Xenopus tropicalis: one gene and its partner. The protein of the gene in region 2 purifies or fractionates together with the protein of the main gene of each other region. This does not show direct contact. Links are inferred from orthologs where the notes say so. Each region holds a gene or a part of one and is shown on either strand. Other genes may lie near its edges.

Region 1 (8,137 bases), on a different chromosome or scaffold from region 2:
TGCGCTACACCAGCAGATATCAATGTGGCTGAAGACCTACAGATTCGTTCAATAGAACTTTAAATCTTTATAAAATAGTATTTAAGCCACAAAGCTCAGTAAGCAGCAGGCTAATAGTGTCCGTGTCCGATGCTGTCAGACAACCACACATACAAAAGCCATAATCATGCAAATTATATCTTTATAAAATATATTTATTATAGTTGCTTAATCTGTCACTCAAGTTGTAAAATGTACATTGTACTTTGATGCGCTCACCTAAAACCCTATCTCACTTACATGAAAAAGCACTCATGACTACAATCTTGTGCCTTTAAAAGGATCTAAAGGCAAAAAATTATGATCGGTTAGTGCCATTCATATGCCTTAGGGATCTGTTTTACAGTATAAACTTATTTAAAATTCTCTACTGTTTTCATACACAAAGTGCTGAAATTTAATTTCCTTCCCTGGCTTCCACTCGCACACATTTCAACTTAACTTAGACACCAGCCTTCTATCTTTTGTTCCTAGCCACCAGTGAGAATAGAAGAAAGGCACACCTGCACTACTACTCTTATTTGTGGATGGGAAGAGCAGGAGACAGACCACCAGCAGATGTTTTCAGTCCAGTAAGAATGTGCGCAGAGCTGAATTTCTGGCATATGACATTCCATTGAACATCAACCCTTTATGTAAATTTGTTCTTTATCTTTACAATATCATAAATCTATAGCAAAGGTGGGCAATATAATTTAATACACCTTAAGCTTATTATATGCCAAGAGAAGTATGGCGAAATGCTGGACTGCTATTGGAGACCTGAACCCAAAATACATTTAAGAATTCAATCTTTTCCATCAGCAATTCCTGTTACCAGTGTTTAACTAATTTTTTTTTACTCCAACTTGTTAAGAGTCAAGATACCACAAACTGTGTAAGTTCACATTCATAGAGAGGAGCCTGTCCACATCAAAACAAAGATAAACTGCAAGTTTATGCAGGATATCGCTGTCTACATCATACCTAAGGTTTATTTAAAGGGAAGGTATTTGACATGTCTAAAAAAGGAAGATATAAAACCACCTTAGTCTAAAAGTGAGCTAGTTCAAAAGCAAATATCCAACTGTGCTGGAGCCTTAATATTAATATTTTAATTAATCTACTAACCACCTGTCTCAAACTGTTTGGCTAACGACATTAATAAAAAAGGAATGTATTTTTTTACCTTTGTTTTGTTTTTGCTAGTTTCCATAATGCAGTTACTTTCTCGGGTTGCAGTTTATGCCTTGCATTAATCTCAATTCATGCATTCAATAGCTACTCAAACATATGCACCTCACATGAAGCCAGAAGTAAAAGCAATGGGCAACCGTCTTGGTCTGAGTCATATAGCATCACCAAGAATCATTTCCTTTGGCTTTTGTGTATTTTAACTTTAAAGACATTTCAATCTAGTTGCCATGAATCTTGAACTGATTTACATCTGTTCTTGTTTTTTTTAATCAAAGAACTAGCCAATAACTTATGAAACTCCCATTTACTTACTGTAATGATTTGCACATATCTTAAGAGTCTTGTCTCTCCTCATTAAGAGACGAATTGTTCCCTTCTCCTTGTGTTTCAGCAGTTTAACATCGCCTGTGCCCCTTTCTTTCCATTCTGGTGGGTCATTTTCTGACGCAAATCGGAACAACTTTGCGCGCCTATGGAAGGAATTACACGTTACATCTAAAACATGTGGCAAATATAGCTAGACTGTAGAAGCGTTCTGGAATGTAAGCTCAAGAGTAAATTCAGTGTTTTCATGTTAAGTGCATGATGGGTTCAAAGGTTTCATTCATCCACCTCTACAGAAGTACTGTCACATAGCAAGAATCAAGTTTCATTAAAGGAAAATAATATTTTAAGAATTTAACTATATGCTGCCCTGACACCCATTAAGTATTGGGGAGTTTATGTACTACTAATTCTAAATGAGTCAATTAAAACAAAGCGTTACAGCAAAACTAAACTAATGGTTTCATGTGAAATACAATTGTTTCATGCTGCTCAGCTGAATTATCAAGTGATCATATGTCTTGTAACCAACAAGAACTCTTACAGAATATTGTATAAGACAGAAAGGCAAAGATACACTTACATTTTAAATAGTTCTTCTTCATCTTCTTCAAGTGTCTTAATCTCTTGCTCTGGCAGTGAAACTATTGGTTCAAAATGAGGGTCATGATTTGTATCTTCTGTGTTTTCAACAGAGGTTTCATGCTCTTCTTGCGTATCCTAAGAAAAACAAAATAACTATAAAGCAAATTACAAGCAATTCCCTAAAGTGCTGTTGGTAGATTAGCAGTCAAGTGAAGCCACACAAGGCTGCTTCTAGCTTTTTAAAACAACTCAAAGTGGAAGCCAATGACATCGAAAAAATTAAACTGGCGATAACCTAAACTACAGTAAGGCCTAATGTCAAGGAAATATGTTGCCTATGAAAGCTGCACCAAGTCTCAGGAACTGCCTATTCAGACATTCTGTGTAAAGGTGGCCATACACGCACCGATATTATCGTACGAAACCTCGTTTCGTACGATAATCGGTGCGTGTATGGCATGTCGGCGAGTCGACCGATATCGCAGGAAGCTGCTGATATCGGACGACTCGCCGATCGGACAAGTTTGAAAATTTTGATCGGGCGCCATAGAAGGCGCCTGACCAAAATTCTCCCTTCAGAGCTGAATCGGCAGAAGGAGGTAGAAATCCTATTGTTTCTACCTCCTTACCTGCCGATTCAGCCCTGAATGGTGTGTGGCGGATCTTACGATGTTTCGTGCGACCGATGGTCGTACGAAACATCGTCGGATCGCCACGTGTATGGCCACCTTAAGAGGTGAAAGGACTGCTATGGGCCTGGACCATTCTGTTAGTCAGATTCTGGCAGCACTCAAATCTAGTTATATAAAAACTGTAAGGCGACTAATTGAAATCTGAGTCATGTAGCTTCTCTGGGGAGGCTAAACTTGCAGCCTTTGCAAGAGAGCAAACTATTTGTAATTAGGCCAGAATGCAGTAAGCCACATATAGCCCCCACCTTCACATGGGCCCCCCAAATGTAAATGTGGTGTAGGGAATGATTGGGAGACCACATAAAGACATGACATCAGTCTTCTCTGGCTGCACCCCATACTTACTGACTCTGATTCATTAATATCTATCATTTTGAACTTTATTTGGCTACCTGCACAGGTAACAACAACAGATTACAGTTCAGCTGCCCAAGGCACCAAAGTATAGAAGTGCCACTTTCCTACAGTGCCATGGGGGGGGGGCGGGAATACGCTATGCCCAGGTATGTGCAACTGCCCCTGTAGCAATGAGAAGACTAGTGCAATGACAGTCCCGGGGGGGGGGGGGGGCTTTAGCTGTACTACATTAGGGGTGCCGATGCTGTAGGCCTGCGCATTACTATATGCACTAGCGGCTACACGTGTACTGAGCACTGCGGGCTGCTGCCCCATAGGATGGGCAAGTCTCTGCCTCACTAGGACTCTCCATTCCCTGCTGCCGGGAGGCTCCCCGGGGTGCGGAGCATTGCGGGAAAGAGCCGCACAAATCACACATGCCGTACAGTTAGACTGCAGGTAACTTTTCCTCCGGCCCAACCCTCGCTTTGTTCGCACACTCCATTCACTCACTCAACTTTGCCGGTTCGCAACACCTTATGCTTCGTTACCCCGCCCAGGTCTTGCAGTACTACACGCTAGGCACCCCTCCACCCGGCCCGCCAACACAAATCACTCTGTCCCGTTTACAAACCAGCGCAAAAGCATCCTGGAAAAAGCGGTGAGTCAGGGGGAAGTGGATATTACTAGCCATACCTTGGTATCGGCCATCGGGCAGAGGATGGAGGCAGATTGCGCGGGTGGGTCTCCTGTTTCTTCAATGCCGCTGTCTGTTCCGCAGGTTTCGCGCTGTTTTTTTTCCTCCCACCCTCTCTTCCTGCACAATGCCGTGCGTGCCTCAAGCGCCTTCTGCACTATACGCCACTTCACGACACTACGCGCCCTCCTCCAAGATGGCGTCTCGTGATTTTCTCCTCCCCCAACGTCACATCCGCTAACCTCTTCAATTCTACGGAACCCTAGTAAAATTAAAAAGACAAAAAACACTTACATTGCTGATACAATGCTATTCGCTGGTTTCTTGTCTCACTATGCGTCACCCATTTCAGTACTGCAGTATCGGGGCACAACGAAACTTACAATGAATGACAGAATAATGACTGCAGCCACCTAAGCACTTCCGGGAGTTTGCGGCATGGCGGATGCCAGTTTCCGTTTACGTCACCAGCATGGCAGCTCCTGTGTAAGTGCTGCGTGCTAGAGTCTTATTGCGCGATATGTATTCCTGTTCTTGCTATAGATAAAGCCGGGATCTAAATGCTGATGTAGTAATATACAACTTTTTATTTCCATTGAGAATACGATGTCGTGGTACTAAAATGGATGATGGCTTTGAACTAAGCCCTTTACTGCCTTCCGTCATTTCCATTCCATAGGAATGTGGTTGTGTTTTCTTATATGCATGTACAATATGCAGTTTTGCAATAACTGTATTCCTTCCAACAGTCTTTGTCTATGTGCTCGGTCGGGGGATGTTAAACATGATGTTCCAATGGGTATCTCCACCTACATGCTGTTTTCCCCCTCAAGTAAAGAAAATGTTATCCTATAAAACTTTCCCACATACGGCTTAATGAGATGTTTTCTGTGGGTTTGTTTTATTACAATTGAAAACCGTATTCGTTTTTATATGTGTGTGTTATTTAATCTTGAAGCAGTGTATCACTAGTCAGCTCTCCCCAAGTCTGTTATTCAGTTGGCTTCTGCATAAAACCATCAATATGTTTGAGCACATGATTAGTAAATCATAAACATGATTATGTCCCTTTAGTGAATGGCACATATGAAAAACATGATTTAGGACTGGACAGGTTTTAAGGCATATTTTTTGATTACATTTATATTCTTGTACTTATAGGATGTTTGATTGCTCAGAGGGCACATCTGAGCAATATACAATTTTTGCCCAATGTTCAAGCTATTAGGGGAAAAGGAAAATGTTATAGTGCTAATATAGTGAAATTGAAACAACACCTGCTGGTCACTTCTTCTGACTGTGATACAGTTGAGAGAAAGGTTTAGAAACAAGGAACATTTCATGATCTTAATCTGCTTAGGAAACAGGAGAAACCTTAGATGACTTTTCTCAGTAGAATCTTTCCTAAGTAGCCATACAAAAACCAGCTATACTCGTAAACCAGGACCATCCATCAGAGTCAGTTAAAATCCAATTTTATTGGCTGATTTAAGAGAACAAAGCCTAACACGTTTCATGCGCAGGCACACTTAATCATAGGTAGAGCAGCATCAGAAAAATTCTCCCAACTGTATCGCTGTAGGAATTACTGACCAGCAGGCGGCAGTGTTGTTTTATTAATGTAGCAGTGACATTTTGCTAATATCTTAAAAATTACAAACATGCTTAGAAGAGCACTCTGATTAATATTAAATTAAGTTGCATTAAAGGTTTACATTTCCTTTGTTTTTTGTAGTTTTAAAAATATTTATATTTTTTTGTAAAACTCAGGAATATAAACTGCATTCTGATTTAATCACTGGGGTGTCAAGCTAGGCACCCCACAGTGATTCTGATTGCTTACTTCAGACCCCGGGCTCCCGCTTCTCCTCTCCCAAAAATTCACCAGCCTTGGGGTGCTCTTCTCAACAAATTGCCACCATACTCTTCTGGTACCCAGGGTTGGCATAAAGGGGCGAGGTAGAGTGCTTTGATAACATGGAAAGAGCAAGTGAGTTAGACACCCACCAGTAGGACTCATTTGATGTAGTGTAATGGTGTTGGTTCTTGATATGTCCTGAGAGGAACTAATACATTTGGCTTTACCCTAGTAAGACAAGATATATACTACTTTATAATAGCTATCATAAATGATACACTCAAGCTAGTAAATGTTAACTTTTTCAGTTCTGATTTGAAGATGGAAACCTGCGCGAATGAAAACATCTGCATCTCTGAAGAAATAAGTCAAGAAGGTTCCCCAGCAGAGGAAGATGGAAGCAATGAAATGGCAAAATCTTCTGCTGAGTCCTGTCCAGACAGCAAGAATAAAGCAGGGATTTATAGATACATCAAAGACGATCTCTTCACTTCAGAGATTTTCAAAGTAGAAATACAAAACTTGCCAAAATACATATGCTTTAATGACTTAAAAAAATTCCTTGGCAAGTATGGGCTAAATCCTCATAAGATTAAACTCATGAATAAACAAACTTTTGCATTTGTGACTTTTAAAAGTGAAGAAGAGCGTGACAAAGCTATGAAAGTCATACATGGGGTGAAGTGGAAGAACCGTACACTTAGTGTTCGACTTGCAAAGCCCAGGGCTGACCCCATAATGCAAAAAAGAAAGCAGGAAGAAGGAGATGGTGAACAGCCAGAAAGCAAGCGTCAGGCTGCACACAATGATGCAGAGGAGGAGCCCCTCAGTAAAACGATCTCGGATGTAGTGACTCCTTTGTGGCAAGTTCCATATGAAGAACAGCTGAAAATTAAGGAGGAAGAATGTTGCAAAGTATTGAAGCAGTTAACAAAGTAATGTATCAGTATTTTTGTTACATAGTTAAGTTGGGTTAAAAAAAGGCCATCAAGTTCAACTCTTTCAAGTGAACCTGGCACACACATAAACCTATACTGACCTATTCATACAGCAGGGCACCTACAGTGCAAGGTTTGTGCTCCATAATACCTAAGCATGTAACCATAGAAACCACTAAACACATTTTCACATTGATGACCAATAATAACACTTTTCGCATAGCTGCTGCAGCAGTGATGTCAGGCTTAGGTAAGTGAAGAAGAACTATTCCTGCAAATCAACTTTATGTATATGCACTCTGTAAGCATTTATATTTATTTTTTGTTGGTGCTGGTGTTTTAGTAAAAGCAGTTTGTGCCTCTATTCGATTCCAGGGAAATAGGAGTGAATAACAAGCCACTAGCCCCTTGGCTGTTTGAGCAGAAACAGAAGTACAATAGACTCTGCTGTCCCCTGGAACGTGTCATACCATCTCCAATACAGGTATTGCTTAATGATATGCTCAGTCCCACACAAAGCAAAACCATGTTCTTCTCCATTCTGCTTTTTCGTCGCCGTTGCGACTATCGTATTTTGCGCGACTTTTTCGTATTGAGCGATAGTAAACGGCGGAAAAACCAATCCGATTTTTTTGCGACAGCAACGAAAAAGTCGCGGAAAATATATACGAAAAAGTCGCAAAAATACTGATCATTACGAAAAAACGCAATCGGACACTTTTGGTCCGTTCGTGGATAAATAAATCTCCCTCTACATCTCAGTGATCTTGCTTTCTACATACTTCTATGGCATTTTGCAAAAAGTGTATATATAATGGTATACCAGAAACAATAGCCCTATACCTTAGCTTATGGCTATCTAGCATATAGCTCAAGGTGTGTTCGTCTAAAAGTTGTTTTGTTTTTTTTTATAGGGCTGTGTTTTAATATATCAAATAATTTCCTCATACACTAATTATTGGACTGCATGGAGACAGCTAGACTTTATATGCATTATATCGGCATGTAGTTACCTTTAGAACAACTGACATTTCTCAGACAGGTGCAAATATTAAATTAAATTGGTGCTGGTTAACAACAGTGAATGCGAAAAAGCAAGTAAAGACTTGACATTTGCTAATATCTATCTGTAATATTACTAAGGAGTAATGTGACAAGCCAAAATAAACATTAAAAGCAATTTAAAGGAGAACTAAATTCTAAAAATATAGCTAAAAATGCCATATTTTATATACTGAACTTACTGTACCAGCCTAAAGTTTCAGCATCTTAATAGCAGCAATAATACAGGGCTTCAAACTTGTTACCATGGGTAACCATATTGGAAAGTGTCTGTGACACTCACATGCTGTGTGCTCTGAGCAGCTGATGAGAAGCTAAACTTAGGGGTCATCGCAAATTACCAAGCAGGAAATGGGGCTGGCCTGTAATATAAGCTGATACTAATTGCACTGGTTTCTGATCTGCGCAATGTAGAAATTATCTGTATTAA
Region 2 (8,051 bases):
AAAAAAGCCAGAAGTGAAATCTATAAACACATATGTAGGGGGATCAAGATGAGAAAAAAAAAATCACTAACCATCATTAGAGACAGCATAGCTGACAGATGCTCCACATGCTACAGATTTCGTTTTAGGCAAGATAGGAATTGGTGTGGGCTCACTCAGTTCTTCTGCATTTTCCCCAAGACCAAGTCTGCCATATTCTGCACGGCCCAGACTATAAACCTTCCCTAAAATAGGCAAGTATTTTAGACCACAGGATACGGGTAGCTGTGAAAAGCACAGTACAAGCCCCGTTTGAAAAAAAATCAAAATATGTCCCTCCCCTCCCCCCAGTGACTCACCTTCAGAGTCCACACAAATGGTGTGATGTTGTCCTCCAGAGAACCCTACCCAGGACTTGGTGGAGTTTTTGAAGGAGGTTAAGTTCTGAGGTGCAAAACAGGACTGAGTTGTTTTTGTACCTAAGATTGAACACACAAGTTTTAAATCTAATAACAAAATACCCCTTTTTTATTTTAGGTTAAACAAAGCACTTTCAATATTCAGAATAAAGCAATGTCCCTTTAGCAGCTTTAAGACAACTCCTTGATAATATGTATTACACACTTTTTTTCAATAATTATATAGGCGCACTAGTTGTCTTCCCTTCATCTGCATGATTTTATTTTACTGGCAGCCCTTTACTACTCACCAAGCTGATGGTAGTTTGAAAGACCAAAGCCATATACATGGCCTTCTTGGGACACTGCAAAGGTGAAGTATGCTCCACAAAACACATCCTGGAAATGCACACGTCCACTTCCCTTTGCCTTCAAGTGGATACATTGTGGAACCAACAATCTTTCTGAAGAGGGGGGGAAAAAAAAATTACATTTACTTTGCTAAATTACTACAAGTAAACACATAAAGATGCATGAATAGCCGAGAGATCAAGGCATTAATGGAGGATATTCTAACCTGTCTATCTGCACCCATTAGTTACCATATTGCAAACAAGTTGATATCTAAACAGAGGATATAAAACTAACCCACATTAGGTCATGCCAGGGATTTCCCCCCCCCCCCTAACAAACCAGCTTTTAAATATTTAATCTTGATTTTCCATTCAGAGACCACATAAGTGACTGGCGTATTACTGTTAGTAGTGCAATAGGTCTGAAGCATTAGTTAAAGGACAAGGAAAGGCAAAGTCACTTGGGGTGCCAAAATGTTAGGCACCCCCAAGTGACTTGAATCGCTTACCTTTTACCCCGGGCTGGTGCCCCTGTTCGGAGAGAACAGCACCAGCCCAGGGTAGCTGCAGCGCTTCCTCCTTCCTGTGCGCGCGCAGTAGAGTGAAAAAACCAAACTTTAACAGAGAAGTAGGCTTTTCACTCTACTGCGCATGCGCCAGTCGTGGGGTCCCGGCAGAACGAAGGAGGAAGCACTTGCTACAGGTACCCTGGGCTGGTGCTGTTTTCTCCTAACAGGGGCACCAGACCGGGGTACAAGGTAAGCGATTAAAGTCACTTGGGGGTGCCTAACATTTTGGCACACCCAAGTGACTTAGCCTTTCCTTGTCCTTTAAGACAGTACAGTCCAACTTCTGTGGTACCAAGGGCCAGAATTTTTCTGGCCTACATGGCAGCTAAAGAAAGCCAGTTTTGACCACTCCCCTTTTTTAAACATTTAAAACAAACTGCCAGATTGTTATATCTGTGCAGTAGATTTGTAAGCACAACTGCTACAGAGGAGTGTATTTTCTATTTCTGTTCTCCAGTTAGAGTTAATCCAAAGGTCCTAAAATTTATGTGCAAACCATAAGAGAAACCAGACCATAGGAAATTAAAAAGATGTCCTCATAAGAAATGTCTACAACAGATGTAATTTGTCCTTATGATTATACACTGGTTTAAATGAATTTGGTCTACAGGCCAGGAAGAACATGGTCACCCAACCTAGTCCTTTGCGCCCTCCACGATTGGTGAATCTTTCTGGAACTCGGCCCAGCTGACCCTGCTCTCCGCATCCCGATGTGTATAGGTCACCATCCACCGTAAGCAAGACAAGATGATCATTACCTGCCATGGTAAATAGAAAAAAAAATTGAGAAAGACAACTATAGAATTTTTAAGCGATACTGACACCTTAAAATTAAACGGTTTTAAAATATATTATTACACTCTTTGCATGGGAAAGGGAGAGTCAGGTTGGCAACAGTAAGATTTAAGAACTTCAAGTAACAATTACTTACAAAAGCAGAACTATCAGCGAAAAATGATCAACATGACCTATAGGTAACTTTTAAATGTACATTAATATTTTGAAAAGTAAAGTGATACTGACAAGAAAAAAAACTAAAGTCATTTTTGCATGCTTGGATTCTCCCTTACCAGAGGCTATTTTAATGACTGGTGCATTTATCTGCATTTGAACAGGCACCATGCTTTTCTTCATAGGTTCCAGTAAACCAATAACACCATTATTATCCTACAAAAGAAAAGAAAAATATTGCAGTAGGTCCTATAGAGCAAGGAATTCTTCCACAATAGAAGCAGTGTTCTTGGTTCAACAATGTGTTCACATTGTCTCAGGGAAGCCCTCAATAAGTCCTTTAATTCCTGCTAAAACCTTGCATATAGTAACAGAGGTGCTAGCAACTTTTCAATTTACTTTTAACAACTTTGTGACCTTTACAAATAACAAAGACAAGGTTTAGGAATGTAATTCTATAAAAAGTGATTAGGTTTTTGAAAATATTTAATCAGCTAATGAACAGTCTTACTAATAACCGTATTCTACTATGGTTCACTATGTCCTCAGAGCTAGTTAGGTTAGTAACAAAATGCCTGACCTAACCATTACTTGGACATGTCAATACATTGTAATTTAAATGTTATAATATTTAATGTTAAACATAATTAATATATAATAATATATACTTAATACAAAGCTGTAAACATTTGATATTACAATAAAAGTGGAACAAATTCCCAGTGTCACCTTCCTTACCAACAGCTCTTACTACTTTATGAGAAACAAAACATAGTATTGCTACAGTGGATATAGTTGGCAGTATATGGTATACTGGAAGATGTTGAGTGCCACTTTGACAAAATTCACCAAAATATTCTAGTACCCTGAATGATCCGAAGACGAACACTCTGCCATCTTCTGTCAGAGCAGCAGTGTGACTGTCTCCTGCAGACACCTGCACCACCTTTTCTACAAGATCCACCTTGCCAGGCTGTGTTTCCGATCCCTCCTCCGAAGTGTCACGACCAAGGGCACCCTCATCATTGCATCCAAATGTATAAATCTGACGGGGAAAAAAGGGTAAGTGAACAAGATAGAGCATCAAGTATACACATTCTTTGTTTAAAAATACTCACACTTCCAGATGCTCCAAGGCACACAGTGTGCATCCCCCCAGCTGCTGCTTGTACGATGTCCTCAGGAAGGGTAACCAGAGCAGGTTTTTTCCTCTCCATCACATCTTCTCCAAGCCCTAGCTGCCCAACATCACCCTGTCCAAGGGTTAATACCTGCCCCCCAACTGTGCCATATGAAGAATGGTTGACTATTGGGAAAAATATAAAAAGAAACGCTGTACTTCAACCAGTTAACAGATTGCTTTCACGCAAGTGGGAGACTTGCAAATACAAATATTACCATATATTTTCCTATCTAAAACAAATACACTTAACCAATTACGGGGAATCCCCCTGAGAAGGGATGCTGGCACTATATGTATTTAGACATATGAGGACGCATTTATTAAAAGGCAAACTGTTTAAAAAAAAATAACCCAAAGCTTATACAAGTACAAATAAATTTAATGTAGGAAAATTTTAAAAGAATTTTGTGGACAATGGTCTTTTCATTCTAAGATTTGTATATGCAAACTATGGTTTGGACTCTTCTTGCATTAGGCCAAATTCCCAAGGTATCATTGATAAATGAAAAAATGCAATTTGGCACTTTCCTAAATTTGCAAGAGCTGTACAAACTACTGTTAAAACTAAAAACAGAAACCCATATTCTTACATGTAAACACAATTGGCCAACGGATGACTAACCTTTAGTTTTCTTAACAACTGATGTTCCATTGCTTTCTTCAGCCACAATAGCTCTCTTCAAAGCCTTTTTGCCTTTCATAGTGAAGTCTTGAAAAGAGACAGTAATATCAGTAAGCATAAGCATTAGTCTTTTCTCCGACTGTATGTGATCACATTTAGAAAAACTGAATGCCGCCTGTGACTTCAAGAACCAACCTGTTGTTTATAATCAAAGTTAATAGGATTAGCAATGTATTCCTTATGGCAGTAATCTAAAATAAAGTCTACTCCCCATTCAGCCTCTTCAAGGGGTCCAAATAATTATTGGAATATCACAAGTTGATGAGGCCCAAATAATAATTTGAACATTAAATAAAAAGTGGAAAAGCATGCATATTAATATCCAATAAATATGCTTAAGGCATGAGTAGATATGCCATTTAGTGTTTGCCCAGAATGTTTTCGGTAACACATACTATTATATAATATAGAAAGGCATTTCATTTATACATTTAGCTGACAACAGGCACATGACAACACACAACATGATCCTTAAATTAGGGTAAACTTCCTGTCTGAACATAAACTTATCAAAGGCTTAAAAATTGTAGCAGCACTGTATAAAATATTTATTGGGGAAAGCAATAACAGCTCCGCTTCATGTTCTTACTGATGGCGCCTACTCACCCAGATAAATGAAAGAGAAAACACTACACTCAGTACCTAATCTTAAAAACGACTAACCTCCTCATACTAACTTGTCTAAACAGTAAAAAAAGGTCCAGATACACCCAGTAATCGCTCTAAAGCAAGTCTCAACACCTGCTAACATTGTCAAGCAATGATAAAGTACATTCAGCTTCTATTATAAATATCTCACATATGTAGATGTCAGCGGGTTATGCAAACGCTAGTAAGACATTCAGCTAAACCAGATACATGTAGTTTGTCCTATCCGGGAAGGATTTCTAGCAATATACACTATCGGTATCGGCTTATAGCTATAAGTTCCAGCGCTGTGCCGCTGAAGCCCCCACAACCTCACCTGTGCTCCAAGATTACAAAATTAACCGCGCTCAGCTCCTTTAAGCAACTTCTTCACACGTGCGGCGCATCCGTGACGTCAGTACCAAGCGACGCCGGAAAGTACAGTGGAAGGGCGGCTGTAAGCCACGCCCCTTTGTCTGCACGAAATGGGCGTTTCCGTGGTTAGAACTCAATAAAAAAACCCGAAAGTAACGGACCTTGAATAAATTTATTCGGCAGTGGCAGAGTATCGCCAGTCCCCAAACCAGTGTTATGTGAAAAGCCACAGGTTTTATTAGTCAATTAAAACTGAGTAGACCACAAATCTTAAATACTAGTAGCATAGGCGACGGATATGAATGCTTAAAGTTCGAATACCAGGGAAATCTCTTATACTGTTTCAATCCCCTCCAAGTCGCTTGCTTCAAACACAATTTAGGGATGTAATTACATGCCCGTGTACCTACTAGGTGCCTACTCCTATGTGAAGGAAACAGGAAATCTTGCTATACTTTTGTTTTGCTTTCCCAGGCAGTGACCATGTGATTTATGATTTAGGTTTGAAAAATTGTGTTTTTTATGACACCTCCCCATTACTGTATTTTACTTCATTTTGCACCACTTGTAATCTTGCACGGTTATTAATGCTAATGGGCAAATTTCATTACAATTCTTGTTCTTGAAATTTTATGTGGTCATCTAAAATAAATACATAGCTTGATAAATATGTTTATTTACACAGTGATGCCTTGCAATCACATTGTTAGTTTAATGTAAGTGAGCACCTTTTTTTAAACAGTATGATAAACAGGCCCCTATATCCCCTCCATCTTAAAGGAGACATATCCTATAAAAATTATGAATGTACCAGTGAATTAAACTCCTCTAGATATAGAAGGATTGTGCTTTAAAAAGTTGTGTTTCCTGCTGATTTATTGAGAAATTCCACAAAAACACCCCTAGAGCCCCGCCCATCTGTTCCACTTCCTGCTGGCTGAATTCTCTGGATGAGCTGGGGGGCCGGTGGCTCTCCGTACCCTGCACTGTAGGATAGGAACCAATCAGCAGCTAGGCTGCCCTGATAGGGAACTGAAGCCTGTCTTTGCTTGTGTGACTGCAGGGCTGTGATTGGCTCTCCCCCTCCTACTGTGCTTCTGGCAGGGACCATTAGGACACGCCCACTCTCCATTTCAAACGCCGACAGAGAAGTGATAGGATCTATAGGGAGCTCCAATAAAGGGGCCATTGTTACAGATAGGATTAATGTTTAGCCCAAAGGGAAACCAGCACCGTATATTATACATAATTGCCTACAGGGTTAGGGGTTTTCCCATTTATCCAATATTTCTCCTTTAAGAGACCCATACTACAGTACGACACTTTAAAACAAAACTTCAAAGAGCCTGGCCTTATCAAATGGACACTTCACAAGTCTCTATGGAATATTCATGGTGCACATTTGCTACCAAGTTGCTGGGTTCAGGAAATGCAAGAGATACTTATGTTTTCCTTATTACATTTTCTGTTATCCAGAACTTGTAAACAACATAAAAATGACAACATGAAAACAATTTGATGGAGCTGTCATATTTGAATTCCTATTCTTTTATTAAAAGCTTGCACTATTACTCTGTTAGCTGATAAATAATATCATGTTACCACAAAAAAAATCAATTTTCCTTTCTAAACATGGTACATCATTGTGATAAACCTGGAGAGGATCTTTATTCTTTTGAAAGGAAGAGAAAAAAAATCTCTTAAGTAACCGCAGATGTAGTATTATATAGGATTAGCAAAACAATTAAATCACAACCATGAAGGTTAAAGACCAGGATGGGGATTGGCACAAAGCACACAGTCCAGTAATTGAGTTTATATTTAACGTTTTGTAATTCTTCAGATAACTGGCACATAAATATATATATATATATATATATATATATATATATATATATATATATTTGCACAAACAGTTGTCTATACAAGGTAATGAGTCTATTGAGAAAAAGGTACATTCTTCCAAAAAAATGCCTTTTAGCAATAAGTGAGTTGCGAATTTTCTGGCCAGTGCCAACCCTAACCTGCAAGTTTCTCAACCCATCCCAAGGTTGAGAAGTATTCCTGCACCAAACTGCCTCTCATGGTGCTGTCAGAGACAATGTCAGTGAGGAGCAGGCCGGCACATCACCTATAGCAGCAGGGTTAGTCCACAACTGAAGCATACAATAAAAGTTGTTGCACACTTCAGCTGGGCAACAGCAACACTTGTGACCCCTAGGTTGATGATGTACAAGCTTTACCCTGCACCTGCTTGACCTGTATTGCGCCACTTTGCACTTTACTAATGCTAATACTAATGGCGATCGTAAATGGTGGGAAAACCTTTCTGACTTTGAACTTTCAGTGCATGTTTTTGGAAGCCTCCCATAGGACTCAATGGCACTCTGCAGCTCCAACCTGGCCCATGACAAGTCACGATACCGAAACTTGAATAAATCCGAAACTTCCGTTCTCATTGCGACAAATATGATTTTGTCGCACAAATTGTTGCGCAAATTGTCACAAAGTACAAAGTTGTGCAAATTAACGAAAATATTGCAGAAAATATGCAAAAATGCAATTTTTTTTTGTATTCGGACCTGTCGTACTTTAATGAATTTGCCACCTAGTGTATGGCGTATATTTTCGGCAAGCCAAAAAAACGCTTCCCGAAAATCACGCCACATGCTCCTACCTGTGTCTTCACCCGAATAAAATACGCTTGGGTGCAGGTACATGTAGTTGATATCGAACGAAAATATGAAGTCTCGCGGATTTTGCCGGATATTGGCTACATGTGCCTGCACGCAAGCGTATTCCATTCATTCGGGTGCAGACACAAGGCAGGCTAAATTTACAGTAGCGGGGCTTAGAATACTCCCGTGTGGCATTAGCCTAAAGCTGGCCATACATGTGGTGATCTGACGATGTTTCGTGCGACCATCGGTCGCA

The links. The genes of interacting proteins can lie anywhere in the genome.
Region 1: the proteins of rcc1 (region 2) and ranbp1 purify together in Homo sapiens (affinity purification with mass spectrometry; 3 studies listed by BioGRID and IntAct, counting the BioPlex papers as one, with this or other methods). This does not show direct contact. The link is inferred for Xenopus tropicalis from reciprocal best matches to the Homo sapiens genes RCC1 and RANBP1.

The regions. Positions count from the first base shown.
Region 1 is NC_030677.2:155,371,898-155,380,034, reverse strand, and holds the start of ranbp1 (ran-specific GTPase-activating protein), read right to left. Parts: upstream 4,288-8,137; 5' UTR 4,233-4,287; intron 4,112-4,232; 5' UTR 3,864-4,111; coding exon 3,849-3,863; intron 3,612-3,848; exon of another isoform or gene 3,410-3,611; intron 2,260-3,409; coding exon 2,123-2,259; intron 1,686-2,122; coding exon 1,528-1,685; intron 1-1,527. Other genes in the region: trmt2a (tRNA (uracil-5-)-methyltransferase homolog A), read left to right, coding at 4,288-4,335, 6,029-6,642, 7,021-7,129. UniProt on the Homo sapiens protein: Plays a role in RAN-dependent nucleocytoplasmic transport. Alleviates the TNPO1-dependent inhibition of RAN GTPase activity and mediates the dissociation of RAN from proteins involved in transport into the nucleus.
Region 2 is NC_030678.2:78,656,625-78,664,675, forward strand, and holds the start of rcc1 (regulator of chromosome condensation), read right to left. Parts: upstream 5,155-8,051; 5' UTR 5,080-5,154; exon of another isoform or gene 4,915-5,079; intron 4,143-4,914; 5' UTR 4,135-4,142; coding exon 4,056-4,134; intron 3,557-4,055; coding exon 3,369-3,556; intron 3,296-3,368; coding exon 3,116-3,295; intron 2,467-3,115; coding exon 2,370-2,466; intron 2,058-2,369; coding exon 1,935-2,057; intron 842-1,934; coding exon 689-841; intron 459-688; coding exon 339-458; intron 225-338; coding exon 72-224; intron 1-71. UniProt on the Homo sapiens protein: Guanine-nucleotide releasing factor that promotes the exchange of Ran-bound GDP by GTP, and thereby plays an important role in RAN-mediated functions in nuclear import and mitosis.